4 linked regions of the Rhinolophus ferrumequinum genome follow. The protein of the gene in region 1 interacts with the protein of each later gene in a pairwise test. Links are inferred from orthologs where the notes say so. Each region holds a gene or a part of one and is shown in the gene's direction. Other genes may lie near its edges. The genes, in order: CIB3, KLF17, SERTAD1 and MEOX2.

Evidence for each region.
Region 2: the proteins of CIB3 (region 1) and KLF17 interact in binary tests that used the Homo sapiens proteins (3 or more experiments, as listed by UniProt). The two-hybrid records come from large-scale screens. The link is inferred for Rhinolophus ferrumequinum from reciprocal best matches to the Homo sapiens genes CIB3 and KLF17.
Region 3: the proteins of CIB3 (region 1) and SERTAD1 interact in binary tests that used the Homo sapiens proteins (3 or more experiments, as listed by UniProt). The two-hybrid records come from large-scale screens. The link is inferred for Rhinolophus ferrumequinum from reciprocal best matches to the Homo sapiens genes CIB3 and SERTAD1.
Region 4: the proteins of CIB3 (region 1) and MEOX2 interact in binary tests that used the Homo sapiens proteins (3 or more experiments, as listed by UniProt). The two-hybrid records come from large-scale screens. The link is inferred for Rhinolophus ferrumequinum from reciprocal best matches to the Homo sapiens genes CIB3 and MEOX2.

The regions. Positions count from the first base shown.
Region 1 is NC_046301.1:49,780,206-49,787,230, reverse strand, and holds the start of CIB3 (calcium and integrin-binding family member 3), read left to right. Parts: upstream 1-4,005; 5' UTR 4,006-4,155; coding exon 4,156-4,206; intron 4,207-4,398; coding exon 4,399-4,433; intron 4,434-6,120; coding exon 6,121-6,232; intron 6,233-7,025. Other genes in the region: protein FAM32A, read right to left, coding at 1,780-1,921, 2,024-2,097. UniProt on the Homo sapiens protein: Acts a an auxiliary subunit of the sensory mechanoelectrical transduction (MET) channel in hair cells. Plays a role in regulating hair cell MET channel localization and function.
Region 2 is NC_046292.1:31,183,690-31,191,068, forward strand, and holds the start of KLF17 (Krueppel-like factor 17), read left to right. Parts: upstream 1-4,376; coding exon 4,377-4,436; intron 4,437-7,379. UniProt on the Homo sapiens protein: Transcription repressor that binds to the promoter of target genes and prevents their expression. Acts as a negative regulator of epithelial-mesenchymal transition and metastasis in breast cancer.
Region 3 is NC_046298.1:39,110,029-39,117,798, reverse strand, and holds SERTAD1 (SERTA domain-containing protein 1), read left to right. Parts: upstream 1-4,766; 5' UTR 4,767-4,922; intron 4,923-6,640; coding exon 6,641-7,357; 3' UTR 7,358-7,696; downstream 7,697-7,770. UniProt on the Homo sapiens protein: Acts at E2F-responsive promoters as coregulator to integrate signals provided by PHD- and/or bromodomain-containing transcription factors. Stimulates E2F1/TFDP1 transcriptional activity.
Region 4 is NC_046303.1:23,143,560-23,151,166, forward strand, and holds the start of MEOX2 (homeobox protein MOX-2), read left to right. Parts: upstream 1-4,602; 5' UTR 4,603-4,882; coding exon 4,883-5,396; intron 5,397-7,607. UniProt on the Homo sapiens protein: Mesodermal transcription factor that plays a key role in somitogenesis and somitogenesis and limb muscle differentiation. Required during limb development for normal appendicular muscle formation and for the normal regulation of myogenic genes.

The DNA.
Region 1 (7,025 bases):
CCCAAAACTTTCTCCACTCGGCTCCTAAGGATACACACTCTCCTGATTTTCCTCCTTCCCATGATCCTTTGCAATTTCTTCTCTGCCACCTTCTAATCACCAGAGGTCAGACCTTATACCTTTTCTCTGTCACTGTTGCTCCTCAGAGGAGGTCATCCAGTTCTACAGCAACTCCCCGATGTTTATCTGGGGCTCAGATCTCTCCACTAAACTGCAGATTCAGAAATCAAACGCTCCACGAGAATTCTCCACTTGGATTACTAAAAGGGACCTCAAAGTTGACTTCTCTAAAACCAAGGTCTTGATCCCTCCCTTTAGAAACCTGCTTCACCCACAGTCCTTCCTATCTCAGTAAATGGCACCTTCCTTCACCCAGCTTCTCCTGCCCAAAATCTTGGTCATCCTTGATTCTTCTTTCCCAGCCCACACGCAACACGCAATCCATCAGCTGATCCTGCTGTCCTTCCTTCCAAATCTATCCCAAATTCGATACCTTCCATAGCTTCCACTATTACTGCCCACCTCTAAGAAGCCACTATTAATCGCACTGTAGGTTGCATTAGCCTCTTCCCCACTCCATTCCTGCTCCAGGAGTTATAGCCCAAGCCTGCCTCTGATTATAACTGTGGGAAGGGACTTAAGTACATTCACTTGTTAAATCCTCACCAAAAACTTACGAGGTAGGGACTTAAGCCCCACTTTCCTGATGAAGAAACTGAGGTGTGGGAGCTTAGCCAACTTGCCCAGAGTTACACCACCAAGACTGGAACCCAAAAGACAGTGCTTCTCATCTCTCTCTCTCTCTCTCTCTCTCTCTCTCTGTACTACTGAATTAAGCCTGAGAGCAATAAGTACAATTTTCCCCATGTCACTTGACGGCATCACCCAGACCAAGATTAGAGTTTTTCAGCCTGGTGCTTTGACATTTTGGGTACTGCGTTCTTCCCTGTAGGGGCACTATCTTGAGCACTGCAGAATGTTGAGTAGCATTCTGACCTCCACCCACTAGATGCTAGCAGCTCCCCTCCTGAGTTATGACAAAGAAAAATGTCTCCAAACATTGCCAAATGTCTTCTTGGGAAGGGAAGTAGGGGGACAAAATGGCCCTCAGTTGAGACCTATTAGTCCCTCCCCCCAGCGTAACGGGCCAAGCTTATCTAACGTTGCCCCCTCCTATGCCCCACCACCCACATTTATCGATATTTAGAAAAATAACAGACACTTAAAAACAACATATTTGAATCTGCCAACGAAGTCGTCACGGGAACAGAGTTTGTGGACACTTACAGCAGGGAGCACGACCATTTAACATCAACAGCTAACATCAACTGAGCAATGACTTTATACCAGACCTAGTGACAAATGCTTTACATGCCATCACAAAGCTCCCATTCCTTTTAGGAAAAAGTACGTATCTTGACCCCTACAGATGAGGAAACTGGGGCACGGAAAGAAGATGAGTCACTGGCCCAGTGTCACAGGGCAAAGGAGCGACAAACCCGGTCTCCAGCTCTGGCTCCTTTCAACGCCATCTCTAGCTCTCCCCTCTGCTGTCCCCTCGGGCTGAAGGTCCTTCCCGTTGTCCGAGCTCCCTCAGACGCGGACTCTTCCTCTTGCTCAGCATCTTTCCCCCGGAATTAAGATCATTTCTGACCGCTCGCCCTCCTCCAAGCATCCCGGGACTGTCCCGGTTCCGAGTCTCCGGGCTTTTCCTAAGCACCCACCCCGGAGACCCAGGCCCGCGGCGCGGGGCATCCCCAGCCTTTCCACCCGCCTCACCCGCTTCTCCTGCATCTTCTCGAAGGCCGCCTGGGCCGGGGTCCGCTTGTCCAGACCGCGCCGCTTCTCCTCCTCGTTCTTTTTGCTCGTTCCCATCGCTTCCAGGAGTTTCGCCTGGTCTTTGTCCTTCTTTTTCTTCTTCCTGGGAGGGAAAACAGAAGATGGAGTGAGGGCGGCCAGAGAGCAAGAGCCCGGGGTGTCGGAAAAAGGCTTACGGGGCAGACGATGGGCTTTCGGGACTCACCGCTTGGTCACGCCGACCTCTGCAACGCCTTTCAGCTTCAAGGGCCCCTTTTGGACCTGCTCGTAGGACGCCATGACGCCTGTCTGCAGTTCGCCAGGTAAACTGCCACACTTCCTGTTCACTGTTTCCGGAAGAACGCCTGCCTCCCTTGGTCTTGAGTGGCCCAGCTAGGCGTTGCGCATGCGTCCTTGGCCACACTTCCGGGTTGAGGGCTGAGCCTGCAGAGTCAGGCGCTATGGGCCACTCTGCACCCTGTGCCACACTTCCGGCTTTGGGCCCCACTTATGGTTTCTCCGCTTTTGGGTTCCTCTAGACAATTGAAACCAATTTGACAAACTCCAATTCTTAACACCCAACGCTTTTTTGAGTGTTTTGCATGTATTTGGATAGCCTGTTCTTTTTTATTGCCATATTTTGACGGTTCAATGGTTAATACGCATTTTAATTTGTACTGTTGCCCAAATTGTACCAGGGACTTGGGCAGGGTGGTGGTGGGAAAGGTAGGGGATGAAGGAGGTAGAAAAAGCAAGCATCCCCAAATCTAGACGACACTGGACCAAGGAGGGCTCGGTGCCTGCATTTCCCAGTTCTACCTGCAGGGGGCAGCAAGCGGCTGCCCAATTCTCCAGCCAAAGTCTCACCTTTTAGCATTTCAGAATTGGATGAGAATGCCAACAGAGAACCATGGGGGACTGCCAGCCTGTGCCAGCTTCCTCATGGGTCCATCCATGGTAGAATCAACTCCTCAGAGAGGGACACAGGAGAAACTCAAGTGGAGAAATCTCTTCTCCCCAGCCAACCCAGCAATTTTGGAGCTCGTCTACAGCGCTTCCAAGACTGTGTGCCCTGGAGCAAGTGGCTTGAAGTCTTTGAGCTTCCCTTTCCTCATAAAATGGGGGTGATGAAAACAACAGCTAATACTTTATATGGATTTACATGGATCATCTCATTTACTCTCACAGCCACCTTGTTACATAAACCATCCTGATTTTATTAGAGGAACTGAGGCACAAACTGGAATCCAACCTATGCTGAGTGTTCCATCCCTGCTTTTGTCACGACACTATGAAGCCATCCATCGTAGATGCATCAATATTTTACAAACATTTAAGACAGTATTTCTCAACCTTTTTTTCATTATCAACACCTAAAGAGAACACTTTAACTTAAATTCACTTAATAAGAAAAGTTAAATACTGATGAATAAGATTTTATCAGGGAGGGTAGAGCTTTGAAGGGCCAGAAACCATTGAAATATCTAAGGTTTTCTTGTCCCCACCCTGAACCAATTTTTTGTCTCCTTTGGGGTAATATTACTTCCACTGATAATTAATGTTCTAAGGGGAAATGTCATATGAGGTGTTTCCCATTTGAGGCTATTATGAATAAGACATTCATTACAGGTTTTTGTATGAACATAAATTTTCATTTCTCTGGGACTGCGCAAGAGTGCAAGTGCCGGGTCATATGATAGTTGCATGTTTTGTAATTTTATTTGATTGTGGCAAGAACACTTAACATGAGATCTATTGTCTTCAGAAATTGTTAAGTGTACACTACATTAATGTTGATGACAGGTACAATGTTGTACAAGTTTTTCATCTTGTTTAACTGAAACTTTATGCCCAGTGATTAATAAGTCCAATTTTTTGGTTGCATTAATGCCCTCATTAGATCTCAGAACAACTCTATGAAGTAGGTACAAAAATAATTTCCATCTTACAAAATGAGGCTCAGAGAGGTCAGGTGACTTGCCTGGGGCCACACAGCTAGTGGGTAGAGAACTAGTATTTGAGCTGGAATATGCTTGAAGCCTCTCCACCATAATGCCTGTCTCTGGAAGGTGCCCCCTCCCCCCAAGCCCACCTGGTGATGGCAGATGTGGTCTGAGGCTCTGTGACCTCCCACAGACTTTCTTCTTGCCCTGGTGGCCGTGGACATACTCAGACTGTTGGCCAGAGAGCTTGGCTGTAACTTGAGTCTCACCCAGGCTTGGGGTGATGGGGCGGGTGGGCGGGTGACAGCCAGGGCAGGGAGATTTGCCTAGACACTGGTGCGTGGCAGCCTGGCAACCGTGTGGCCCTGAGGAGCCTGGGGGCTTCAGGAGCCTGTTCCTGGCGGTGGCCTTCATCATGGGCAACAAGCAGACAGTCTTTACTCATGAGCAGCTGGAAGCGTATCAGGTGGGAGTAATGTGTGGGGCAGCTTTGGTTTCCTGGCCTGAGGAATGGGGGCAGCATCCCTTGGTCCTGGGTGGGCAGTCAGCAAGGGTTCCTGGTGCAGCTCTGTGTGTGGCATCGGCAGAGATGAGCAGGGGGAGGTGGGGAGAGGAAGCCCGGGTAGGGGCTGGGCCAAGCCAATGTCTCTCTCCCCAGGACTGTACCTTCTTCACGAGGAAGGAAATCATGAGGTCAGTCTGGGGAGGAAGGGAGGAAGACCCGGAAACAGCTTTCTATACGGTATTGGAGGATGTTTGGAATTTGACAAGGGCCAATGCTTCGTGGCAGTTAGAGAGCTAATGGTCAGTGGACAGAGGCAGAGATGGGGCGGCTGAGAAGCCACATCTGATCTTATTGTCTCGCCTGTAGGCTGACGAGCTTGGATTTTCTCCCAAGGGTGGCAGGGAGTCATGGAGAGTGTGTGAGCAGGGGAGAGACAGGTCAGCATGTTAGAAGGATCCCACCCCCCAGGCCTGTGTGAAGAGGCTGAGACTAGAGGCTGGGGGCACAGCTGCAGAGTCAAGAGGCAGCTCTGGGCTATGGGGTTGACGTCAAGGGGAGGGTACAGGGAGGCGCCCTGAGGCTGTTTCAGGTCCCTGGTGTGAGCGAGACAGACATAAATGGGTATCCCACATCATCACTTGGCCCAGGGAGCCATTGTCCAGAGGCCCTGACCCAGGAACTTGGAGCTGTGAAACCCAAGCTGGCCAGGGTTCGGCTGCAGAGTGATCGGGGCCAAGGGCCCAATTGTGTGGGCAACGGACATCCATTATTGATGGGCACACCTTTCACCAGTGAGCCCCATTGTCTGGGCGAAGACAGCTCGCAGGGTCACCCCGGCTATGATGATCGAATTACTGATGGGGAAACTGAGGCTCAGACAGGGGAGGCTGACCCCAACTCTGCAGATGGGATGAGTCCCAACGAGTTTGAGGGCGGATATTTCGTCTATCCCAAGCTTCTCGCTTGTCAGACAGACTAACTGAGGCTCAAAGGAGAAGAGGGACTTGCTCAAGGCCGTACAGCACCTCAAACTCGGGCTGTCCCTGGAGGGGACCCATCCGGTGGTCAAGACCGGATTCCAGATACTCCCTTCCTTGAGTACCTAGTCACCGTATGACCCAAAGGCTCCTGTCCCCTTCTGAGACAGTCTCTAGCAGCGTGGGGACTTCTCTATTAGGTCATCAAGGAAAATCTCTATTAGGGTGTTGCTCAGGGGCCCAATGAAGGAATGGTGTCACCAGGTGAGTGCATCATAGTTCAGAGCTGGCCTCCCAGTCGAGGTAGTGGGTATGGCATTTGGTGTTTTCCAAAATGCCTTTCAGTTACCCTTTTGAAAAGCCTGAATATTAGCCTTTGTCTCTGCTCTGCCTCATTGAGGGAATCCTGCCTCCCATTATGGAGGGGGAGAGGGAAAATGAGGAGGAGGGTCTTTAAAAACATGGTCTTGCTGACAAAGTGATGACGTCCAGAGATTCATAGGTCGGTTCAGATTCTCTCAATGCTTATTGTGAAATGATCTCGCCCTACGCACTCTCCCTTCTGTCAAGCCCATTTGCCTGGTGAGCTCCTAGTCATGCTTCCAAACCCAGCTCCAATGACCCCTCTTCCAGGAAGTCCTTCATCCTGTCTGGCTTGCTTCTCCGAGTCTGGTGTCCCCAAGCTCTGGGACTGTCTGTCTACCTTGGCTTTGTCCCCAGGGAGATAGAGGTGCCTGTGTGTTGCTCTGTGTGCCTGAAGGCTGGGCCCAGGACTGATGGCTCTTAGGGACCCAATATCCTTCAGTGTGGAGTGAGTAGCTGCAAGAGTGAGAGAAGAGGGACAAGTCCCCTCCCTCCCACCTCCCAGCACTTCCTGGTATTTCCCTCCCTACACTAGGCTCTTCTATCGCTACCAGGACCTGGCCCCCCAGCTTGTCCCCCTCGACTATACCAACTGCCCTGATGTGAAGGTGCCCTACGAGCTCATCGGCAGCATGCCTGAGCTGAAGGTATGGCCGGGTCATGGGGCAGGCAGGGGGAAAACACTAGAATTCCTTTGCTGCATGCCAATGAGGTGCAATGATTCCCATTTTGCAGACGAGAAAACTGAAGTACAGAGAGGTCAAGACACTTGTTCATGGCCATGAAGCCAGAACATGACAGAGACAGGATTCAAACCCTGGGTTGTTGGGAAGATGAGATGAGATCATGCTTAGCACAGGGTTTGTTGTATGGCAAGTACTCAGGGAACGTTAGTTCTTTTCATCGTACGAGCTGCTAATGTTCAACACATGGTTTGAAGGGGACTTGTGGAGTGAGTGACTGTGCCTAGAGATTATTGTATCACAAGGGACAAAAAGCTTACTCAAAAGGGACGCAATGGATTAGATCGCATGAGCAAAAAATCCAGAGGCAGGGCTAGCATCAGGTATGGCTGAAACCAGGGTCTCTGAGAATCTCTTTCCATCTCTCAGCTCCTAGGAAGAGGCCTCATTTTCAGGCAGTGTGTATGGCATTTGAGGTAGTGGATGGAGCCCTCAGAGGCCCCAGGTTTCCTCCTGTCAGCTCTACAACCATCAGAAAGCAGGTCCCTCCATCCCAATTTCTTCAGAAAACCTCCCAGGGCAGCCTCCAATTGGCTAGTTTGAGTCATGTGCCTATCCTAGAGCCAATCACGGTTGCCAGGTAAATGGAAGTCTCTGATTGGCCTCACCCAGGTCTTGTGGCTGCCGCTGCAGATGGAAGTGGGGTCAACACCACCCAGACCACAGGGACAGAGAGTGGAGTTGTCTGAAGTTCTGT
Region 2 (7,379 bases), on another chromosome or scaffold:
CTTGTGCACTGTTAGTGCGAATGTAAATTGGTACAGTCAGTATGGAAACAGTATGGAGATTCCTCAAAAAAATAAAAATAGAACTACCATATGATCCAGCAATTCTATTTCTGGGTATTTATCTGAAGGAAAAGCAAATACTAATTCTCGAAAAGCTATATGCACCCTCAGGTTCATTGCTGCATTATTTACGATACTGCAGCAATGAACATGAGGGTGTGCAACAGGGAAGCAACTTAAGTGTCCATCGATGGATGACTGGATAAAGAAAATGTTGGATACATATATACAATGGAATATTATTCGCCCATAAAAAAGAAGGAAATCTTGCCATTCACAACAACATGGATGGATCTTGAGGGCATTATGTTAAGTGAAACAAGTCAGACGGAGAAAGATAAATACTGTATGATCTCACTTATATGTGGAATCTAAAACAAAACACTGAACTCACACTGAGAACAAATTGGTTGTTGTCAGAGGTAGGTGGTGGGTATGGGTGAAATGAGTGAAGGTGGTCAAAAGGTGCAAACTTCTAGTTATAAGATAAATAGGGGGGTGGTAGATGACGGTAAAGGGGATCCAATATATGGTGATGGAAAGAGAACTGACTCTGGGCGGTGAACACACAATGTGACATATAGACGATGTAATACAGAATTGTACACCTGAAATCTATGTAACTTTACTAACAATTGTCACCCCAATAAACTTTAATTAAAAAAAAAAGATAAATAAGTTCCGGGGTTGTAATGTACAGCATGGTGACTATAGTTAATAATACTGTATTGTATATTTGAAAGTCACTGAGAAATCTTAAAGTTTTCATCACAACAACAGCAGAAAAATGTAACTGTGGTGTTGGATGTTAACTAGACTTATTGTGGTGATCATTTCACAAAATATACAAATATCAAATCCTTATGTATGTGTGCACCTGAAACGAATACAATGTTGTATGTCAATTATAGCTCAATAGAAAATAAAGAAAAAAATCCCACAAAAATTGGTACAAGTTTACATTAGCATACTTTTATTACGGACCATTTAATAAACATTGTATTTTGCATAGAAGTTAATTTGGAGAATGCCGTTTTTTGGTCGCCCGAACACACACAGACTCAGCCACATATGTTTGGAGCTGACTTTAGGCACAGGTCATACCGCCAACCCCGGTGTTATTAGTTCTCCCTGCATTTACACAGTAGCTTCAGAACAAACAATCATGATTTACAGTCAGTGATTATAAAGGCAAAGAGATAGAACTTGACTTATTTCAATTCTGTCATTCAATGTAACCATTTGGAGTTTTGGGTAAAAACAGTGAAACAGTGCAAAATGAGAGGCAAAATATTTTCGTTTGGTTAAGTGCCAATTTTAGTTCATAGATGAACTATTTTACTGGATTTAAATCATACTTTTAAAATGGAAATTATTCTTTAAATATTGTTAGTTGTTTTAAAATGAAAGATAAATCAGGAAAATAATAAATGTTATGTCAGTGGTACAGTTCAGCAGTTTTGTGAACTAAAATTCACTTTAGTTATTGGCGGATCATTTACATAGGATATTATATCAGTCTACAACTAAAGGATCAAAGTTCAAACAATTAGATAGATGTGGAAATAAATAGTTGTACTTTTTTCATTTTCTGAACCATAATACTAATTGTTTTATTTATTTTACTGGCATGAATATACATATAAAACTTTGTAAAAGAAAATTTTTCACTTCTACATTTCTTTTCTGGCCATTATTATTATTCATTTCATTTCCTAATCATTTGCAAATATTAAATTTGAATTATGAAAATAGTTTTATCCTATAGAAGAGTGGTGTGTTAAAAAATGATCTGCTCCATGTATCAAATATGATTCATTCCACAAATATTTTCTTAGTGCTGTGACGGGAGGAAACACTAGGTGCATGGTAACTGGAAGAGGCATCAAATGGAAATCAGACATGGTCCATAGAGGTGATACCTGAGCAGGTATTCTCCATAGAAGCAGAGCCACTATTTCTCAAGGACCTGCTCTCAGCCCCAACCCATGCTAGTAGCTAGAGACACTAAGGTACTTAAGACTCTTGTTACCCAACCTGTTACAATAGAGCAAATGTCCCTGCATTCACCAAAGGCCCACTTGTCTATTTGTACCCTGAGTCCTGTCCTTTTGTACCCTGAGTCCTGTCCTTTTTTGACTTATCAGTGTTGCTCCTATAATTTTTCTCTCTCTCTCTCTCTCTGCTTCGGTATTGGTTTCTTTTTATTGGTGGATCCCCGTCAGCCTCCCTTAATCCCCATTCCAACTACCACCTCATTTCTCTGGCCCCATTCATAGAAAAACATCTTTGAAAGAGTTGATTATAGTGTCTCAGTATCTCCATCTCAGCAGCACCTACCTGTTTTCTTTTCCCCACTCCAGTTAACTTCTATCTCCTCTGTAACTGTTTTTGTCAAAGTCGCCAAAGACCTCCATCTTGCCAAATCCAATAGGCACTCACCTGGTTCTTAGCAACATTTGATGCAGTCGAACAGTCCCTTTTTTTTTTTTTTTAAGATTTTATTGGAGAAGGGGAACAGGACTTTATTGGGGAACAGTGTGTACTTCCAGGATTTTTTCCAAGTCAGGTTGTTGTCCTTTCAGTCTTAGTTGTGGAGGGTGCAGTTCAGCTCCAGGTCCAGTTGCTGTTGTTAGTTGCAGGGGGTGCAGCCCACTGTCCCTTGTGGGAGTCGATCCCGCAACCTTGTGGTTGAGAGCCCACGGGCCCATGTGGGAATCGAACCGGCAGCCTTCGGAGTTAGGAGCACGGAGCTCCAACCGCCTGAGCCACCAGGCCCGCCCAACAAGTCCCTTTTTTTAAATACAGGCATGTTGAAATATGTATCCACTCTAATGGCCTTATAACCACCATGTCTAATGCTGTAAACACCTAAACTTACATTTACAGTTCTAGCCTCTCCCTGAGGATATTTAGTAGCCATCTCAAAACCAACGTATCTAAAATGGAATTCTTATTTCAGCTGCTTCCAAAGCTCTTCCCATATTTCCATATCCCCATTGGTGCAGTCATCACTCAGTTGCTCAAGCCAATAATCTAGGAATCATGTTTGATGCCTCTTTTCCTCCCAGCCCTTTCCCATTCCAACCCATTATTAAGTCCTATCTCATTTAATGTAAAAATATTCTCTAATCACCATCACCAACCTCCACCAAATACTGACATATTTTTTGGCGAGATTCTTTTGCTTTCTAATTCGTGTTCCTGCTTCCATCTTGTCCCCTATAATCCATAAACCTCAAAGTAACCCAATGACTATTTCAAAAACTTAGATCACATCAGTTTCCTGCTTAATATCCTTCAGTGGCTTCCTATCACTTAGAATAAAATCCGAACTACCAGCCAGGATCTTCAACACCCTGCCCGTCTCGATCCTCAGCTCATTCTTCTCTCCTGCCTGCACATATCACCGAGGTCGCCTGGGCGTCCTGATTTCCCTCTGGCACGGCAACCAAGTTCTTTCTTGCCCTAGATCCCTCCAATCTTCCTATGCATGACTCCTTTTAGGCCCTTAGTTCTCAGCTCACATTTCAATATTATGTTTTTTTCCATAGTACTGGCCACCATTTATAATTATTGACTTGATTAAATTCATTTGTCTGCTCATTTAGGATGAAAATTCCTGAGAGCAAGGACTTTATTCTGTCTTGTTTGCCATTGTATCCCTAGTTCCAAATCACAGAGCCCATCACGATAGGTACTGGATAAGTATGGTAGAATAAAGACATTGTACCACGGAGCTCCCAGTCTTGGGTTTGTACAAGGGACAGAGAGGTACCTGGCAAAGAAGATCCAGGCCTCTGGGAGCTTATGACAAGAGCCGTAATCTGGTGGGCTGGTAGTGGAGGCTCTCCTGTCTGCAGAGATCCTACACCCCATCTGCCATTCTCTCCAGCCTCCTTCCCCATTTCTCCACTCAAGAGATCAACAAAGCCTGGCTGGAACTCTGAAACCTCGGGTCCCCACCCCCATTTGGGCCAAGCAGAAATGCTTAGGCTTAAGGGTGGATGGGGAGGTAGGATGGGATAGACCTAACACTTATGGAGTGGTCAAGGTAAGCGGTCCTGTTAGTGGCCCTGCTGAGTCTGGACAGGCTGAACCCGGCAGGGTGGGGCAGCCTCCGCTGGGTGGGTCGAAGGGTGCGGCCTTTGGCTCCGCCCCCCCAGCGCGGCGGGAAGTAGAAGCCGAGCGCCGTGATTGTGGCGTGGAGGTGCAGCGACAACTGACCTGCGACGCCGTGGCGGCGGGGCTCAGCTCTCCTCGGATGTGGTTTGGACCCGCACACAGTCCCGAGGTGCTGTGGATCCCAGGCTGAGATGGAGCAGAAGGCCCAAGGGCTGAGCCACTGGCCGGCAGCTCAGCACCAGTTCTCAGAGGTGGGGCGGGCGTCAGCCCCAGGGCAGGGCGTGGGGGCTGGAGTAACGAGGCTGCGGGAGTGGAGGGAAGCAGACCCCTGGGCATTAGGAGTTGAAGGAAGAGGTTGGGAGGGATGGGAGATCGAGGACCGAAATCGTGTGTCGTTTATCGAATTAATACTCACCGAGCCTAAGTAAGAGCCTGTGTCGGGCGCTGGGCGTGAAAAGGTCCCAGGAGAGGGATCTGAGTACTGAGGAAAGGAGACAAAAGTTAGGAAGTTAGCGGGAAACGGGTAGGAGGAAAAAATTAAATATTTATTGGAGCCCTTCTAAGTGGTAGGCCTTTGCCAGACCCTGGGAATACAACGGTGAGTTTACCATAAGACACTATACCATTTTATTGATAAATAGCTTAATGATTAGCAGTACAAATTGTTGTGATGGAGAAGTACAGGGGCCACGGGAGCAAATAGAGATGTTTAATCTGATTTAGGAGGCCAAGAAGACAGCTACGGATTTGGTCTGGGACTGGAGAACTGGTTCGGTGAAGGGTTTGTGGGTCCTGAGACCAGAGACAGGATACCGCTACCTTGGAGAAAGTGAAAGATGGACTATGGGACTGAAGGCCAAGAGAGTGACGGGAGAGTGGCCCAAGGGGAGGGGAGGCAGGGACCCCCGCACCATCGCGGTCGTGCGGGGCTTGAGTTGGTCATTCCAAGAGCAGTAGGAAGCCATTGATGAGTTTAACCATGATCAGTCACAATTAGATTTGAATTTTTTTTAACCTAGATTTAAATGTTTTTAAAAGAGTCCCCTGGCGAATGTGGGCAGAATTACAGGCAATAGTTAGAACGCCGTGTGATAATCCGAGCAGGAATTAAGATGGCGGCCCCACAGAGAGGTGAGAGTGGAGATGGAAATCCTGGAGATGTTTTGGAGGTAGACTCTACAATGTGGTGATTACGTGGATCTAGGTGGTGAGGCACACCCAGGACAACAGATTTCTAGCCTGTACAATCAAGTGAGAATAGTGGTGACATCTGAGAGCGGAAAAAGATGAGAAGAAACAGGATTAATAGATTAACCCCCCCAACCCCCCACCCCGGGGGTGGGTTGGGAGGGGTGCAAGGACGCTCCTGTGTATTGGACAGTCCAAAGTGACTGTGGCTATTCAAACGGACTGAGCATTAAGTAACTGGAAGATTCAGGAGAGGTCTGCCCTGGAGCATCGATTTAAGAATAATTGGAATGTAAACAGAAATGGATCATTAGCATGAGAAAGATTGCCCGAGAGTAGCTTAAGGAAAACCTGCAAAGGAAAAGGAGGGCTGGAGAGAAGGGAAGGAGAAAAACTAGGCAAGAGCGTCATTGTGTTCCTGAGGCCAAGGGAAAGAACCATTTCAAGAAGAGTGACTTCCCAACCTCAGAAGCTCCTGAGAGGTCCAGCAAAGAGGAGTCTGGCAAGGTTTTGGACTTAGTGACAGGGAAGTCATCGGTGACCTATATTTGGGCTGGTTCTGTGGAGAGATGGGGCCCTGAGTGAATTTGGGGGAATAATAAGGCCAAGGTAGTGGTGAAGGTGTGTTTCGCCATCTCCAAAGATTTTTACCTATGAAGGATCAGGCAAATAAAAGAGGGCCATTACTGAGAGGGAGGGAAAAGGGGCTGAGCACCCCAGAAATACCCATCTAAAAGACATTTGAGGGCTATAGTGTGCCTACTTTACGCTAGATGCTGAGCATATAATGGTGAATAAAACAGGATTTCCCCAACCCTTCTAGGATTTAAAAAAAATTGTTTTCCCTCCATAGTCAAAACATTATCAAACCTATCAAAATTAGTGATAATCTCTTAATACATCTTAGATGCAATTATTATTCAAATTCCCCTAGTTGTTCCTAAAATGTCCTTTAGAGCTGATATGTTCAAACCAGGATCCAATTTAAGACCACACACTGCATCTGCTTATTACGTCCGTTGGGTCTCTTTGAAATTAGAATAGTTTTCTTTTTTCCTGACTGACTTTCTTTTTTCATGATCCTAATTTTTTTCTTATAGACTCCATTTTCTGGATTTACCAGATTGCTTTTTCATGATGTAATTTAGCTTGATCATCTATCTCTTGTATTATCTCTTAGAGTGAGATCTTAAAGCTTAATTGGGTTCCTGATTTTTGGTAAGACTGCCTCATAGGTACAGTAGGCTTCATCTTGCATTACATCAGAAGACTCATCTGGCTCCCCACAATTTGGTGACACTAGGCTTGGTCCTTAAATTAAGGTCGCAAAAACCCTGTTGGTCTCTATTCAAATTTATTTTTAGGCTTGCTGTCAGAAAGTAATCTGTGTAATGTTACCTTGGCTGCATCCAAATGATCAGTTCCCCAGCAATCATTCAGCTACTGGTTTCAACCAAATATTTTTTCCTTGATCAAAAGTTTTTTTAGGGGTTGTAAAATAATGATTTTCTAATTCTACCATTCCTTCTACATTTATTAGTTTGTATTCTTCTGTAAACTACTGGAATTAGTTGGTGATTTTGAAATAACAGTTTCCTACTGGAAAGACAGAATAAATACGAAATTCTTTCACTTCAGTTCACAATGGCTGACACTGGGATAATAGCTTACCCTTTGTCACTTTTGGATCGTGAGTTTTCAGATTCAATCTATTAAAATCAACAATCATTGTTCTTTTTGATTCTCAAATTTTCACAAATTTGGCCAGTGGGGACCCCTTCTGTGTCCTTTTAAAAAACATTTTTAAAAATTGTGGTAAGATCTACATAACATAAAAATATCATTATAACCATGTTTAAGTGTATGGTGGCATTAATCATATTCACATTATTGGGCAACTGTCACCACCATCCATCTCCAGAATTTTTTTCATCTTCCCAAACTGAAACTCCTTAACCATTAAACTGACTTCCGAATCTCCTCTCCATCCCCCAGTTGCTGGCAAT
Region 3 (7,770 bases), on another chromosome or scaffold:
GCTGCTTGGTAGATTTAGACTCCCCAGCCACCTGGAGAAACTGAGTCAGGTCAATTACCTGTCAAAGGATGGGACTTTTTTTCCCCCCTTCTTCCACCTCCCCTATCCCCCCCACTACGGTTCAATCTGTTTCTCAGTCTAGTTGTGTAGGACACAGCTCCCTGGCCCATGCTGGTATTGTGAGCCTTGTGCTCCCTGACCCCCCCCCCCGCCCCCACTGAAGCAGTTGGTCGCCAGTCGTCTGGCCACTCACAGCAGCTCCTGGCAGCTCTGGCTGGCTGCTGCGGCCGCCTCACCGTGGCACACAGTAGCCCGAGGCAGCCCACCGCAGCTTAGGCCAACCTCCCGGTGCTCACGGCTGCCCAACAGCTCCAGGGAGAGCTGTTGTTCACAATCTTAGCTGTAGAGGGCGCAGCTCACTGGCCCACGTGGGAATCGAACCCACGACATTCTGCATTAGGAGCGCAGAGCTCCAACCACCTGAGCCACCAGGTTGGCCCAGGATAGGACTTTCTGACAGTTAAAATTTTGTCAACCCTTTCATTTGTATAAAATGTGCTGCTGAACCCCAGAGGAGAAAAATGCCCAAAGATTCCCAGTGCTGAATGGTTTTTCAGAAAACCAGGTTAGGAAGTAGAGCCAGGCTAAAGTTATGGTTTTTAACTATTTGGTAGGTACAAACCCAGGCTGGTGAGAGTGAGGGGAAAAGAGAAGAGAGGCTAGGGAAGATACAATGTGATAACATTGCTGCTGAACTGGCTATGTTTCCACAAACACTTGAGGACATGGCAGCAGGTGACTACGCATTAGGGACTTTTCTGGAAGCGTTGCAAGGAGGAACCACACCTTGGCATAGTCCACAGGCAGGGAAAGGAGGGGGATTTTGCCTGTGCTTTCTGGCTCAAAGCCAGATTCTCACCCTTAGAGGGGCATTGCATTGAAGTCTGAAAGCAGTGGGGTAACTTAACAGGTAGGTGCCAATCAAGAAAGAGGAGGTGGTACAGAGGATCTCAAGAAGGCACAGAAGTTCCGCATCTCAATATGGATGCCCACTGGATCGTGTCTTTTTCCTACTTAAAACTTACAGTGACTTCTCCTACTCAATAAAATCCCAACTTCACCAAGGCCTTTGAGACCTGATAGTCTTGTTCCTCAGTTTAGTCTCCCACTGTCCCTTACTCGCCTCCAGCCACATTGGTCTCCTTTGACCCCAACCTAATTTTGTCCCTGGGGCCTTTCCACTTGCTGTTAACTCCCCAGAAGACATTTCCCCCACAGCTTCACCAATCCAACTCTCCCCTTCTCAGTGGCCTTCCCTGCCTTTCCGAGCTCAACATGTCCAGATGCACTACCACCCCTGTTTGATTAATCACATTCTGTTTGATTTTCATAGTAGCACCTATTCAAGCTCAAATTATTACCTTTTTATGGTTGCCTCTTGGTTTATTGGAAACTGAGAGGAAGGGGTTTCGTCGGTCTTAGCCCAGCTGTATCCCCCAGTGAGTAGAACTATGCATGGCACAGGTGGGCACTCAAAAAAAAGTCCATTTTTGCTATTGTTGAAAAAATGAACTCCTGATCTCACCATGGCCAACCCTCCCTGCCACCTCTCTGTACTCATCTCCCCCATACTCCTTCGCTCCCATGCTCCAGCCACACTATTCTCTGCCATCCTTCAAATACACCAGCATGTCCCAACATCAAGACGTGGAGTATTACCTGCCTCATTAAGCGACTGTGCAAAGTGTGTAAAAGGGGGCCTAATGCACACTGAGGATTCCAATAATTGCTCGAATTTACTGAGTGCTTACTGTGGGCCTGGCACTCTTCCATGCATGTGAGTAAAACAGTTCCTGCTCTCATATAGCATCATAGTGGGGGGAGGCTGAAATAAACACAAAAGGTAAGTAACAAATGCTGTAGAGAAAAAGAAAGCAGGAATGTGATGAGGGGGTGTCGCTATGTAGATGGAATGGCTAAAGAAGGCCTCAGTGACAAGGTGACATTGGAATAAAGACCTGAAGGAGGTGAGAAGTGAGCCAAATGAATCTGTGGGGGACATCCTGGCAGAGGGAACAGCCAGGGTGAAGGCTCCGACGTGTGGAGCATTTGAGAGAGGGTGTGGAGGTCAGTGTGGCTGGAGCAGAGTGAGCAAGAGGGAAGAGTACTAGGAGGAGGTGAAAGTGCTGAGGGGTCTAAATCATGTAAGGTCTAAGGGAGTCCCACAGGGAGGACCTGAACTCCACGCTGAGTGAAATGGTAGCCATAGGAGGGTGTTGAGCAGAGTGTGTGGGGGGGGCAAGACCTGACTCCCGTTTAAATAGGCTCTCCTTAACTGCTCTAAAGATAACCACAGTGAGGCCAGTATGAGGAGCACCCCCACTTTCCAGATGAAGAAACTGAGGCTCAGAGAGAGCGAGCTCCTGCCGTGTTCAAGAACTGGCGAGAGAAGTGGAAAGGCTGGCACGGCAGAGAGAACTGGGTCCCGAGGGCAGAGTCCACGTTCCCCAACCTGCCCTCCCGCGCTGTCCTTCGGTGGAGGATGGGCCGCGGCCACCTAAGGGCATAGGCAGGGAGGCCCCGTCTCTCCCCGCTGCCCACCCACCGCCCTGGGCTCGCTCTGGGCGGGATACCCGGAGGCGGCGGCAGTCGGGAGCCGGCCCGGCGCCTCCTCCCTCCCCAGAGGCCGGGTGGGGCAGCCGGCTAGGGCGGGGCGCTCCCCCATCCCCCTCCCTTCTCAGCTGGCTGAGGCTCCTCCCCAGGACTGCTGGGCCCGGTAGCTTCGCTACTAGTTTCACTTCCTAAAGCCCGGCCTCTTTCCTTCTCCCTTCCCCCAGCTCTTTGAATTTCAGGATCCTTCTCCACTTTCTGGTCTCAGCTTCAAAGTCACCTCCACGGGACCACCCTGGCTACAGATACTTCTCCCCAAGCCTCTCTATTAACCCCATCCTATTTTGTTTTCTTCAAGTCACTGAACGGAGGCAGAGATTATCTTCCTCATTTATTAATCTTCCAGGGTCTTCTCATCCCACTCAGAATGAAAAACAAAGGTCCGTAGAGTACTCAGAAGGGCCTAAAAACGTCTCTGACCTGCTCCCGACAGCATACAGACCAACTACACGGGCCTCCAGCACACGCCCACAACCCGGCCTTCACATTGGCCCTTCCTTCTGGCTGGACCCTTCCTCACTACCTCTCTCATTTCACCAAGTCTCTACTCCATGTCACCTCTTTTCATATTTCTTTTCTTTCCACCCCTCCCCTAATCCATAAGAAGTGAGACCCTGTGAGGTTTATCCAGTATACCCCATCATTTACAACAGTGTACACCACCTAGTAGGCGGTCAATAAATTCTTGTACATGTTAATCAAATGACTCTTGTGAGCTCTTCCATGTACGACGTGGAGCAAGCCTCTTGGAGACTGTGCTTCCTTTTCCTGGCCAACAAGATAGGCTGTGGGGGAAATAATTTGAATTTTCCTAGCATGGGCCTGGCTCTAATGATCATTTTACCCTCTTTTTATTATGAAAGATTTCTAGCACTTAGAAAAGATGAAGAAATATTCCATATTTAATTCCAAATGCATAATAGACGCTGCAAAACTGTCATTTGCTGGAGGGAGCATTTGAGATCTTGCTTCCCAGCATGTTGTCGGTTTGGCTCACATAAACTCATAAAAATTATCTACAGGTTTGAACATTCTTACATTGACAATATGTACCACATCCTCTTTATCCATTCGTCTATCGATGGAAACCTAGGTTGCTCCGATATTTTGGCAATTATAAATAATGCTGCATAGTATAGTTTGCACTTTTTGAGCACTTACTTTGGCCAGGAGTGTTATTCACAACTAACAGTTCTTCCCACAGCTCCAGCAGAGTTAGCAAATGATCTACTCTACTTGAAGAAGGTAAGTCCCATTTTCAGTCTATCAGACAAGTATTAAACTCCTGTCTACTTATACCCCATCCCACGTGCTCCCCCTTGAACTAAGTGCCTGTTCTATCACTACAACAGCTATTACTACTAACAAAAGGACACATTGTGCACCACTCTGAGCATTTTGCACAAATTATTCAATTTAATCCTTAAATCAATCTTCTGCACCAGATGCTATCTCCATTTTAATAAAGATGAGGAAACCGAGACTCTAAGGGACTAAAACCTTTGCTCAAGGTCACTCAGCTACTTAGGGAATGGCGCCCAATATACGACCCCAGTGGCATCCCCCCACTCTCATCTTTTGACTCCCACCTTTGAGTCCAACTGCCCAAAATTTGCCGAGTCTAGTATAGTGCTCTTACGGATGCGATCTTATTTTAATTTTCCTAACTCAAGAGGTAGGCAAGAAGATCCCCATTTAATAGACTTCGTGTGGTTAAGAGGTCAAGCGTTTTTCTAGGGTCACACATCAAGTGAGTGATGAGTCAGAATTTGAACCCAGGCCTATCTGGCCTAGAGTGTAGACCCCTGTTGGGGCTGGGTGTGTAAGAAGCTCAATTGCTAAGTTTGGCAAGCGCATGCGTTGGTGTGAGTGGCCTGCACCTTGATAAGCAAAAACCCCCTCCCTGCCACAACCTACCAGAGCAAAGAGCCACCCTACCTTCTACTCTACCCTTACGCAGGAGCCCGGGCATGCGCCCTGAATACAACCTTCCCTCCCTTCGAACCTGCCCCCTACAGGCTCCTCCCATAACCGTCCAGGGCCAATCCCTGGGTGTAGGGCGGGGCCGCTACGGTAGTGGGCGGTAGCTAAGAGGAGTCAGGAGCCTGGAGTCGTGCGCTGGAGTCAGAACTACGTCTCGCGACCCAGGCGCCGGTTGCCGAAGGAGAGCTAGCAAGTGATGCTGCCGCCGCCGCTTCCTGATTGGCTGCGGGTGGCTCCCTCTTCGTTCTGATTGGCAGCTGGTGAACTGGGTATGTAAATGAAGGAAAGGGGCCTAGGGAATGAAGGGGTACCGGCGGCTTAGTCTTTGGCAGGTTCGATCCCCGCGCCCGGCAGGTGCGTGCCGGGACGGACCGGGATCGAGAAGCGCGGGCCTCTAAATGCCGCCCGCCTTGGCCGGGCCGGGTGAATCACGCCGCAGCCCGGGAAGGGGGCGGAGGCGCCGGCTCTCTGGCTCCGGCTGCGTGACTCACCCGCCCCCGCCGCCGCTTCGGGAGGCGCCGCCTCCACTGCCTTCCGGTAGCGAGCGGAGGCCGAGAGGGCAAAGCAGCCCACGGGATCCTGGCCTGCACTGCCCTGGCAGGCAGGCAGGAACGACAGCCAGGACGGGGGGCGGTGTACAGGGTCCTGGGGTCTGAGGGGCTGGAATCCCCGGGGGAAGGCCCGCTTGGGGCCACTAGGGGGCGCGGGGACAGGGGGGCGGAGTTAGAGTGGGGGTGGGGGCTGAATTCCTGCGGTTCCGGACTCTCGGGTCTACGGGGAAGGAGACGAGGACCCAGTTCTGAGTAGTATGAGGGGTCACTGTTAAGGTCCTACTGGGTAAGGGTCCGGGGACTGGACCGTGCAGGCTGTCTTCCTCAAAAAAAAAGCTTGGGCCAGTGGTCTAGAACTCCAGGGACCCCCCCACATCCCGCCCGAAGGAAAGTGTGGGTCCTCAAAGTTTTCTCAGTGATTCCCGTGCCCATCAGGATTTCCCGGCAAGCTCTGTCTACTCTGCCTCCCAAATAAATCCTGAATCGACCAACTTCCTTCCATGTCCACTACCACCCTCTACTCCAAGCCACCGTCATTGCTCCAAAGAGTGCAGTAGTCTCTCCGAATAGATCTCCCCCTTCTCCCTACACCCCCGACCACCATCCTCGAAGTAGCCAAGGAGGAGCTTCTGGAAACCTAATCAGTTCACAGCACCACTCCCCTTCCTGCTGAAAACTCCTGAATGACTTCCCACCACACTCAATAAAATCCAAACTCCTTGCCTCTGCCTATTCTCCACCCTTCCCACCCCCCTGCCCCCACCTTGCCACTCTGTGCGCTGACCACACTGGTCTTTTTTTTTTTTTTTAAGGTATAATTGGCACACACTAGCCTTTTTTCAGTACAGGCTCATCCTGCCTCCAACTCTTGTTTTGCCTTTGCTGTGGTTCTCTCTTCTAGGATTGCTTTCCCCTCGTTCTTCTATGGCTGACTCCTTCTCATGCTTGAGAGCTTAACTCAAATGTTATCTCCTCTGAGGAGCCTTCCCTGACCACTCCCCAGAACCTTTTAGTATCTTCCTAACACCATCTGTACATTTCCTGTATTTGTTTATTGTCTGATGCATAGTACATACTCAATAAACTTAGATTAAACTATGTGAAACAGCTGCTTTTATAGGTTAAAAAAGTTGAATACTGGACAATTCACATGGTTCATTGAAGAAATATAATACTTAATAATAATAGTGCTTATGAATAAGAGTAATTGCTATGTACCAGGCACTGTTGTAGTGGTTTTTGGATATTATCTCATATATTCCTTAAAACAACTCTAGGAAGTAGACTATTATCATTCATATAGTAAAGGTTCTCTAAGAAAGCCTAGGTTCAGAGAGGATAAGTGACTTGCCCAAGATCATACAGGCAGCAGTAGTCAGACCAGGGTTTGAACTTGACATTGGCTTTCCGTAACTCAAGAACTTGTCTCCCCACAGATGATGCTGAGCAAGGGCCTGAAGCGCAAGAGGGAGGAGGAGGAGGAGGAGAAGGAAGCCCTGGCAGTGGACGCCTGGTGGCTGGATCCCAGCCACCCAGCAGTGGCACAGGCACCCCCGGCCGTGGCCTCCAGTTCCCTCTTTGACCTTTCAGTGCTCAAGCTTCATCACAGTCTGCGGCAGAGTGAGCCAGACTTGCGGCACCTGGTGCTGGTAGTGAACACGCTGCGGCGCATCCAGGCATCCATGGTGCCCACAGCCTCCCTGCCACCTGTGCCTAGTGTGCCTGCAGCCCCTGGCATGGCTGACAACTTGCTGGCTAGTTCAGACGCTGCCCTCTCAGCCTCCATGGCCAGCCTCCTGGAGGACCTCAGTCATATCGAGGGTTTAAGCCAGGCCCCCCAGCCCTTGGCAGACGAGGGGCCACCTGGCCGCCCCACGGGGGGAGCCCCCCCTGGCCTGGGTGCCTTGGACTTGTTGGGCCCAGCTACTGGCTGTCTTCTGGACGATGGGCTCGAGGGCCTGTTTGAGGACATTGACACTTCCATGTATGACAGTGAACTTTGGGCACCAGCCTCTGAGGGCCTCAAACCTGGGCCTGAGGATGGGCCGGTCAAGGAACAAGCCCCGGAGCTGGATGAGGCTGAGCTGGACTACCTCATGGATGTGCTGGTGGGCACACAGGCACTGGAGCGGCCACCAGGGCCGGGGCGCTGACCCCAGGGCTGGGATGTTTATCTGGTGACCAAACAGCCTGGTGGCTGAAACAACTGTCCTTGGAAAGACATGGCTGGCTCCTCTAGAACAGAAAGGGATGCTTCAGAGAGACAGTCAGTCCCTGGCAGCTTCACCTCCGTCCCCTTGTCTCAGGCTGATGGGAGGAGTCTGGGATCAGTCCTCCATGGACTATAGGGCCTGGTGGCTGGAATGTGATTGGACGAGGCCCAGTGCTGGACTGACTCCCCGGAGGTCTTAGCCTGGGATACTCTCTCCCAGATGTGGGAAGAGACCCCAACCAGTTTTATGAAATTAAAAACCAGGTCTGGTAAATATTAAGTCTGTGTGCTTCTTTGTCTCTGGGTTAAGGCGAGGGTGAGACAATAACCTCTAATATTGATTGACCGTGGACT
Region 4 (7,607 bases), on another chromosome or scaffold:
GGTATAGAATATATAACATAACATAGTATTTCATTATAGAACTGTCTTGCATTAGTGTACCTGTATATCTTATAGTTAGGCATGCAAAGGAGTCAATTTTCAACTGTAAAAAATTTCAATGCATACATTTATTAATGAAAATAACATACAAAGTGAGTGCAAATGAAAATGTAGGAATTGGAGGTAATTACTCCCCATGTACATCAATATAAGAAAATTTTCTTCAATAATTGGAGGCAAAACAGGTGAACAAAAGGAAGTTCAATCAGAAGTTTTTAAATTTGAAACGTAGTCAACATCTTCCTAATTTTAACACTCCCCCTACACACACATAATTAGAATTTCATAAAATGTATGTGAAAAGCAAGTGGAATTATGGAAAAATGCATGTATTTTGAATTTTTAATTAAATCAGTCATAATCTGTATTTCATTCCAGTTTTCTGAAAATTATTTCCTACATGGCACTTGAACTGAATTGAAGAAAATCACCAACTTCTGAAAGAAATCATATATCTAAAAGTAGGAAGAGATAGAATTATAAAAATAAAATATGTTAGATATTATTTTACACTTTCAGAAGTCATGTTTAAGTATTCATTTCTTGTAGTATATATAGAAACACAACAATTTTTTTGTGAAAACAATTAGTGTTATGTAAAAAGTGTTATTTAAAAATCAGAACAGTATATAGAATCACTAAATAACCTGCATTAGCCATAGCAAAATTGTTCTTCAAATTTTATAATGCATAATTCACGGAGAAAGGCAATTTCCTAGTTTTAAAAAGAGGAGTGTATCATAAATCATATAAATTATTGGGTATTTAGCATCTATTAATATTTTCAAAATTCTTTATTTCATAAAAACCAGTTCAAGGGCATGTTATTTCTTCGAGAAATATAGCAGAAATAATATTTTTATCCTCAGCAAAACCTTCAGAGACAAATTCCAGCTTCAATTTAATTTTCCATACTTAAATTTATATATTATGACTGTATTTTACCTAGGCAAATTTAGCAGGTAAAATGCAAAGTAAAGTTTATAATATCTGTAGCTAATGATCATATTTAATTTTAAATATTTTATTACCATCATACCTCATGTCAAATGAACAGAAGAATGGCAACTCAAAAGAATCATGATTCTGAAAATAAAATTTAAACAAAGTTTTCACATTGCTTAAGCTCTATTACACTTCAAGTAATTTTAATTAAAAATATCTTTGCATTATTATTGAATATCACTTCATTCAAACAGAAGAAATAATAGGTATGTGTGTTTATCAAATTTAAAGAGCATGTGTTTAAAGTAATTTTGATTATGTTTCTTACAAAAGATGAGCAACTTACATTTTTCATATATTCACCCTCTTGTTATAATGTGCTGCTTGATATCAAACCTTGCATAAAATACTGTTATTAATAGAATATTTTTCAGGAAAATTCAAGTATATTTTACATATATGATCAATACTATATTATATATAGTTTAAAATTAATGCTATGTAAATTCTATAATAAATTTTGTGATTTTTACCATTGTTCATGATATAGGTGAAAAAGCAACTTTCAACATCAGATTTTGTTGATGTGGACCCTAAAGTAGCTTTATAGGAAATGCTAGGGATTTTTCCTGTTATTGTATTTTTCAAAAAATTATGGTATAGAAAATAAAATCAGTGTTTTATTGTATTCCAATAATCCTAAGCAATGAAAATTTGGGGGGAAAAAAAACTTATGAGGTGATTAATATATACTTGGAAATTCAGAGGAAAAAAAGTCATATTAATTTTGGAGTGTATCAAGAACTCTTTTTTAGTCCTTTCTCCTTTGAATCACATTTTTTTCTCTTCCAAATAACATTTTCCTTATATTATGCTTTTTATTAGAAATATGGACTCCATAATTTCACTGATATTATATATTTTGGGTCTTCAATTAGAAAGACTATTCCTGTTAGCTTTATTTTAATGTGTGCCTTTTACAGAGACTCTTCCCTTTCTAATCTTTTCTACTTTTTTTTTTCCTCTCCCATACTTCTAGCCCCACAGTTCCAGAGGCTGACTGACTAAGGCATGCTGTACAGAAATTTCTGGACATGTTGTTAACATCTGACACAGTGAGTGAGAAAAAAGCCAGCAAAGTCACCAGGCAGGTTCAAGAAAAAGAGGCAGCTTCTGGAGATGAAAAGTTTGTGTGTTTTTGCTAGTTGCTAGTTACCTGCAACACACTGGGTAAATTCAAATCCATTCACTTCTCAATTGCTTGCTTTCTCTAAACCACTATAATGCAAACCAAAAGGACCTTTATGGGTGTTTTTTATTGATGTCTGCAGATCAAGTGTATCTTTAGTCTTGCCTGACATTTTCCACAATGCTTTTAGTAGACAGCACTGTATTATGTAAATATTTCTGGTTACTGTTTATGGAGGTGGTTGCCTAAATTTCTCTCTGGATAAAGCCTTTAATGCTTTCACCCAGAATCCATGGAGGAGCCATCCGAGTTTGGGAAGTTTAGTGTTGCCCTTTGTACTTCAACTTTTAATATCAGGGCACATATTGAAACCATAAACACAATGAAAATTCAAAAAATATTCCGACAATATTAGAAGAATATACCCCCTCCTTTTTTATCCTTAAAGAGCCAAGGGCATGGGGAGTGGCAGGAAGAAACATTCTTAAGATCTAAGCTCTGGACGCCATCCTGTGAGTGCTTAAAACCCTTAGAAACGTGCAACCTGAAGAACACCCCCTTTCGAAGTCTAAAACAATATTAGATTCCCAAAATATCGGCAAAGAAAGTCTTACCGTCAAATGCTTGCAGCAGGTTCCAGCTCAGACCCAGACTGAAAAGCTGAGCAGCTGGTGAACAAAAGTTTTAGCTTTTTTTTTTTTTTTTTTTTTAACGAAGTCTGCAAAACTAATTTCCCTCAAAATAGGGCTCAATTTCCGTTAAAGAAAGCAGCACTTACAAATCTCAGAATTCCTGATCACCCCCTCCCTGTCCCACCTCTAAGCCATGGAAAACAATTCGAACTTTCACACGAATGTAAAGGTTTATTGCGAAGCCACTATTCTGCTGTACGACTTAAAAGAAAAGGGAGATAGACTGAAAGCCTGAGGGACTGGGCGAGGGAAAAGGTCCTGCCTTGGGAACACTTCTCAAAGATTAATCAATACTTTTGCCCTAATTCAAAACAGATGGCCGGCCTAGTTTGCTGTCCCCATTAACCCCATTAACAACTTCAAAGACCTGTTCCCCATCCTCGGGACACCAGAGACAATGAAAATAAGGAGGCGACGCTGCTGGTGGCACATTCACATTCCGGGTCTTGGGCGGGATAGGTGAGCACGGATATTCTCCTGATGCGACCTGTCCCAGGCAGGACTCGACTGTTCCTGCAGCTCGTTACCGGGGCTTGCTTGCCTCGTGTAAAGGACTCTGCCCCCAGCAGACAATGTCGCCTCTCAAGTGGCAGAATCAAAGTCCAGCTGTCGCTCGCGCTAATTCATTGGTGGCAAGTTTTCTAACTCATTTTCTATGATGCAAGATTAACCAGGTAGATATAAAATTCCCAATTTACTGAACTTAAGGGAGGCGGGGGCTATCAAAATGTAATATTTCTCAGTAAATGGAACCACGACCAGAGCCGGAGAGGGGCAAGGGGTGCTATCAGCTGATTTATTTTTGACCGGAGAGGGTGGATTTCTGGAGGTATATGATGGGACATGGGCTGGCTCCTAAGGGGAAAGATTGGAAATGTGCGTGCAATATACACATCTCATGTGACCGGGACGAAGTCGCTTTGGAATATTCCTGACCCAGGGACAGTTCTTAGTGGACACGTGACTAGGAAATTCACCGGGACCAGGAAAGCAGGGGACAAGGCATTTGAGGTAAGCAGGGGAGAAGAGACCCCACCTGGCACCGCAGGTGACACTGCCAGAGCCTGGACATCTGCAGCTGTCCTGCCCGGTGCTACCTACCCCCCAATCCCCGCCGCCAATAGATCTCTCCTTTCCGCATTCAGAATGGCTATTTCCCGCCCGCCGGGCACATCCCTGCAACTTCGGATCTGGTGTCCGAACCCATTATCAACGCACCCACAAACACCACCTGCAAAAAGTTAGGCGCGCCACTGCGCCCAGGACATGAGGAAACGCGAAGCCAAACTAGCTCCCTTTCGTGCTCCTCAAGAGCTAGGCGTAACCCTATCTTTCCCGCAGGTGACAGTGTCCAAGTGGCACTGACAAGACACCTTTACTGAGAGAAGCGAGCGCGCTGGGCACCGGGTGAGGGGCTGTGGCTGGCGTGCACCGCCGCGCGCCTTTGCCGCCCGCGCCGGGGGAGGCGAGCCGCTGCCCCGCGGCTCGGGTTCAGGCGCCCGGCGCGCCGCTTGCACGCCTGGCGGCCGACAGGGGCGGGCGGGCGTGGACTCGCTGAGTGAGTCCAGCGGGTTAGGAAGTGGAACTGGGAGCGCGTGGCTCTCAGACTGAGCCGGAGTTTTGGAGGGAGTTTGCATGTGGTCAGCGCTGGGCTCCTAAGCCAGCCCCCAGCTCACATTACACTCTATTTATAACCTCTCAGAGCCGTTTCCCCCTGAAAGCAGTTCTCTGGGACCACCTTCTTTTGGCTTCAACCTCTCCTACTCTTGACATCTGAGTAGCTCAGAGGGAAGCTCCTTCAGGTCAGAGTGTTTATATGTAAAGGAGACTGGCCACTAGGGCTCAGGACCGGGATTATCAGAGCTCTGCAGAAACGCGGGCGGCTATTGCTCTGGGAGGGGGAAAAGTCACACGGTGTCCAGTGAAAAGTGACAGAAGGTGGTGGCGTTTGGAACCGTCGTGAAGTCTTCTGCCTGGAACCCGAGACTTGCATGCTATGGAACACCCGCTCTTTGGCTGCCTGCGCAGCCCTCACGCCACCGCGCAAGGCTTGCACCCGTTCTCCCAGTCCTCTCTCGCCCTCCATGGAAGATCTGACCATATGTCCTATCCCGAGCTCTCCACTTCTTCCTCGTCTTGCATAATCGCGGGATACCCCAACGAGGAGGGCATGTTCGCCAGCCAACATCACAGGGGCCACCACCACCACCATCATCACCATCACCACCACCACCAGCAGCAGCAGCACCAAGCTCTGCAAACCAACTGGCACCTCCCGCAGATGTCCTCCCCCCCGAGCGCGGCTCGGCACAGTCTCTGCCTCCAGCCGGACTCGGGAGGGCCCCCGGAGATGGGGAGCAGCCCGCCAGTCCTGTGTTCCAACTCTTCCAGCTTGGGTTCCAGCACCCCGACCGGGGCCGCGTGCGCGCCGGGGGACTACGGCCGCCAGGCGCTGTCACCCGCGGAGGCGGAGAAGAGAAGTGGCGGCAAGAGGAAAAGCGATAGCTCAGGTAAGGGCGCGACGGGCACCTTGGGCGAAAGGGGCGGAGAGATGTCCAGGAAGATTCTCTCTCAATAGTGAGGCAGCAGGAAAGACGGCGCAGGTCTTGCCCTTTCTGGCTTCCCGCCGCTAAATTCCGTGAGGCTGCTTTGGTCCTGTTATTGGGGGACACGTGTTTCTCCGAGCGCAACACTGTAGCCAACAGCAGAAACCTCTCCAAGGTTCAAAGTGGTTTACCAGAGTATTGAGAAAAGAAAAAAAAAGGACAAGTGACAGTATGTGAAATCGATTGAGAAGCGTGACTTTCCCTCTGAGCGATAGGGAGAGGAGTGCACCCTGGGATGCAGCGTTCGCTGAGCGTGCGTGCGGGTGTCGCTCCTTGACTTTTTCCCTTGCAAATTCCCGACTCTGAGTGGCTCGATTTTTCCCATCGTTAACCGGATTTCCAAATTATTGCACAATATTTGGAACTTGCAATGGAACTTGGCAGAGAGTATGAGAAAAAAAAAGTTTATTTATTTATTTATTTTTTATTTCTGATTTCAGAGTACTTTAAATAGTACCTATTCCAAATGGTAAAAATTTCCCTTTCTTGGGGAAGAAGACCTAATGTAGGAATTCAAAGGATTTTAAAGAACGTATCAGAGAATTGTAAATAAATACATGCTCAGACTCTTGAAGAAAGACGAGTCTTAATAGTAATTGCATTGGTGTGGTACTAGTCTTAAGAGAGAATCTGAATTTCAAAGGTGGAAAGTGATATTCTCTTCCAATTGAGAATTATCGGAGACAAGTACTGGGAAACAAACAGCAACCCCAGTAGTGCAAGTTCGCTGCATCTCTGAGGCTGGTATTCACGGGTGCGCGCAGGAGGCGCTCATCTACGTGGGGATCAATTGAATAGCCACGCAAAAGGGGAACCTTGCTGAACGCGGATGCTTGAAGGCACAGTCGCCAAGGAAACTGTAGCAATCCAGAGAAACTAAAGTTTTCCAGGTTACTTCCGAAAAGCCCTTACCTAGGTGTCTCATTATGAAATTGTTAAAAGATGCTTCACAATTAAGGGGGTTCCGAGTTTTCTTCTGCAGCTATAGCGCAACCTGAGTTCCGTCTTTTTGGAAGGTGTCATTTGTTTAATATAGTATTTACATATTTTTCTACCTTTGCGGAATTGGTTTAACAGTCCTAGAAGGTAATTCCAAATATTGGTTTGAAGGATTGACGACATGTTTATGCTTTATAATTCTTTAGGTACGATTCCTCGTTAAATGACAATGATTCAGCCGCACATTTCAGGTTCCTTTGCAGCAATGCTATCAATTGTTCTTCACCGTTAGTTATGGGAAATCTAACTTTTACTTGCCAAGGTCAAAGGTGAACTTTTAATGCTTGACTCGCAAATTAGCTTATATCTGAGAAAGTTACCAGCGGTATCACTCATATTTAATGGTTTTTACTAACCATAAGTAAAACTCTTAAGACAAAGTTGAAAGGTTAATCATAGCAAGCAATTTTCCTTCTTCATTAGAAAATAAGTCAATTTTAGAATGTAGTGATCCTTTCATAGACTCAAAATTTGATAGCAATAAAACTGCTTTTGGAAACAGAGCCGAGTTCGGATTGGTCAGTGCACTTTTGCAATTATCAAGAAGCTCTTACTGTTCATTTTACTTTCTGCAATGAGAAATCTGTGTGATGGATTGTTCCTTCTGCTTCCTGAACTGCACCACTGTACCTAACTTTCTTAGGGCAAACTGAATTTTCATATAGACACGTGTTATTTTGGTTGGGAGGAAACAGAAAAAGTGGGATCTAAGAACTGTTTCCCTTAAATTATTTTAATAACAACTTTCTTAAGAACATTGGTTATATCAATAGTTTTGCTCTCCGTTGGTGGGAAATAACCAAATTAATATAACAATGAATAATTAGAGTACTGGAAAAATAAACAAACACAAAAGTTTGCGTCAACTACATAAAATATTAAGATTACATCTTAAGTGGGAAACACGGTTAGTTATCACCAAGGATAGAATCACTGGGGAGGAAGAATGAGTGTTTTCTTTGATGAGATATTTTGAAAGAAATTTTGACTAACTAAAAGGAAATATCACAATAGTGTCTAGTTAAAAATCTATATAATGTAAAAATATGTCTAGTTAATGAAAATAAAATTTAATTTGCAATTTCATTATTTGAGTTAATTAATATTTGTTGGATC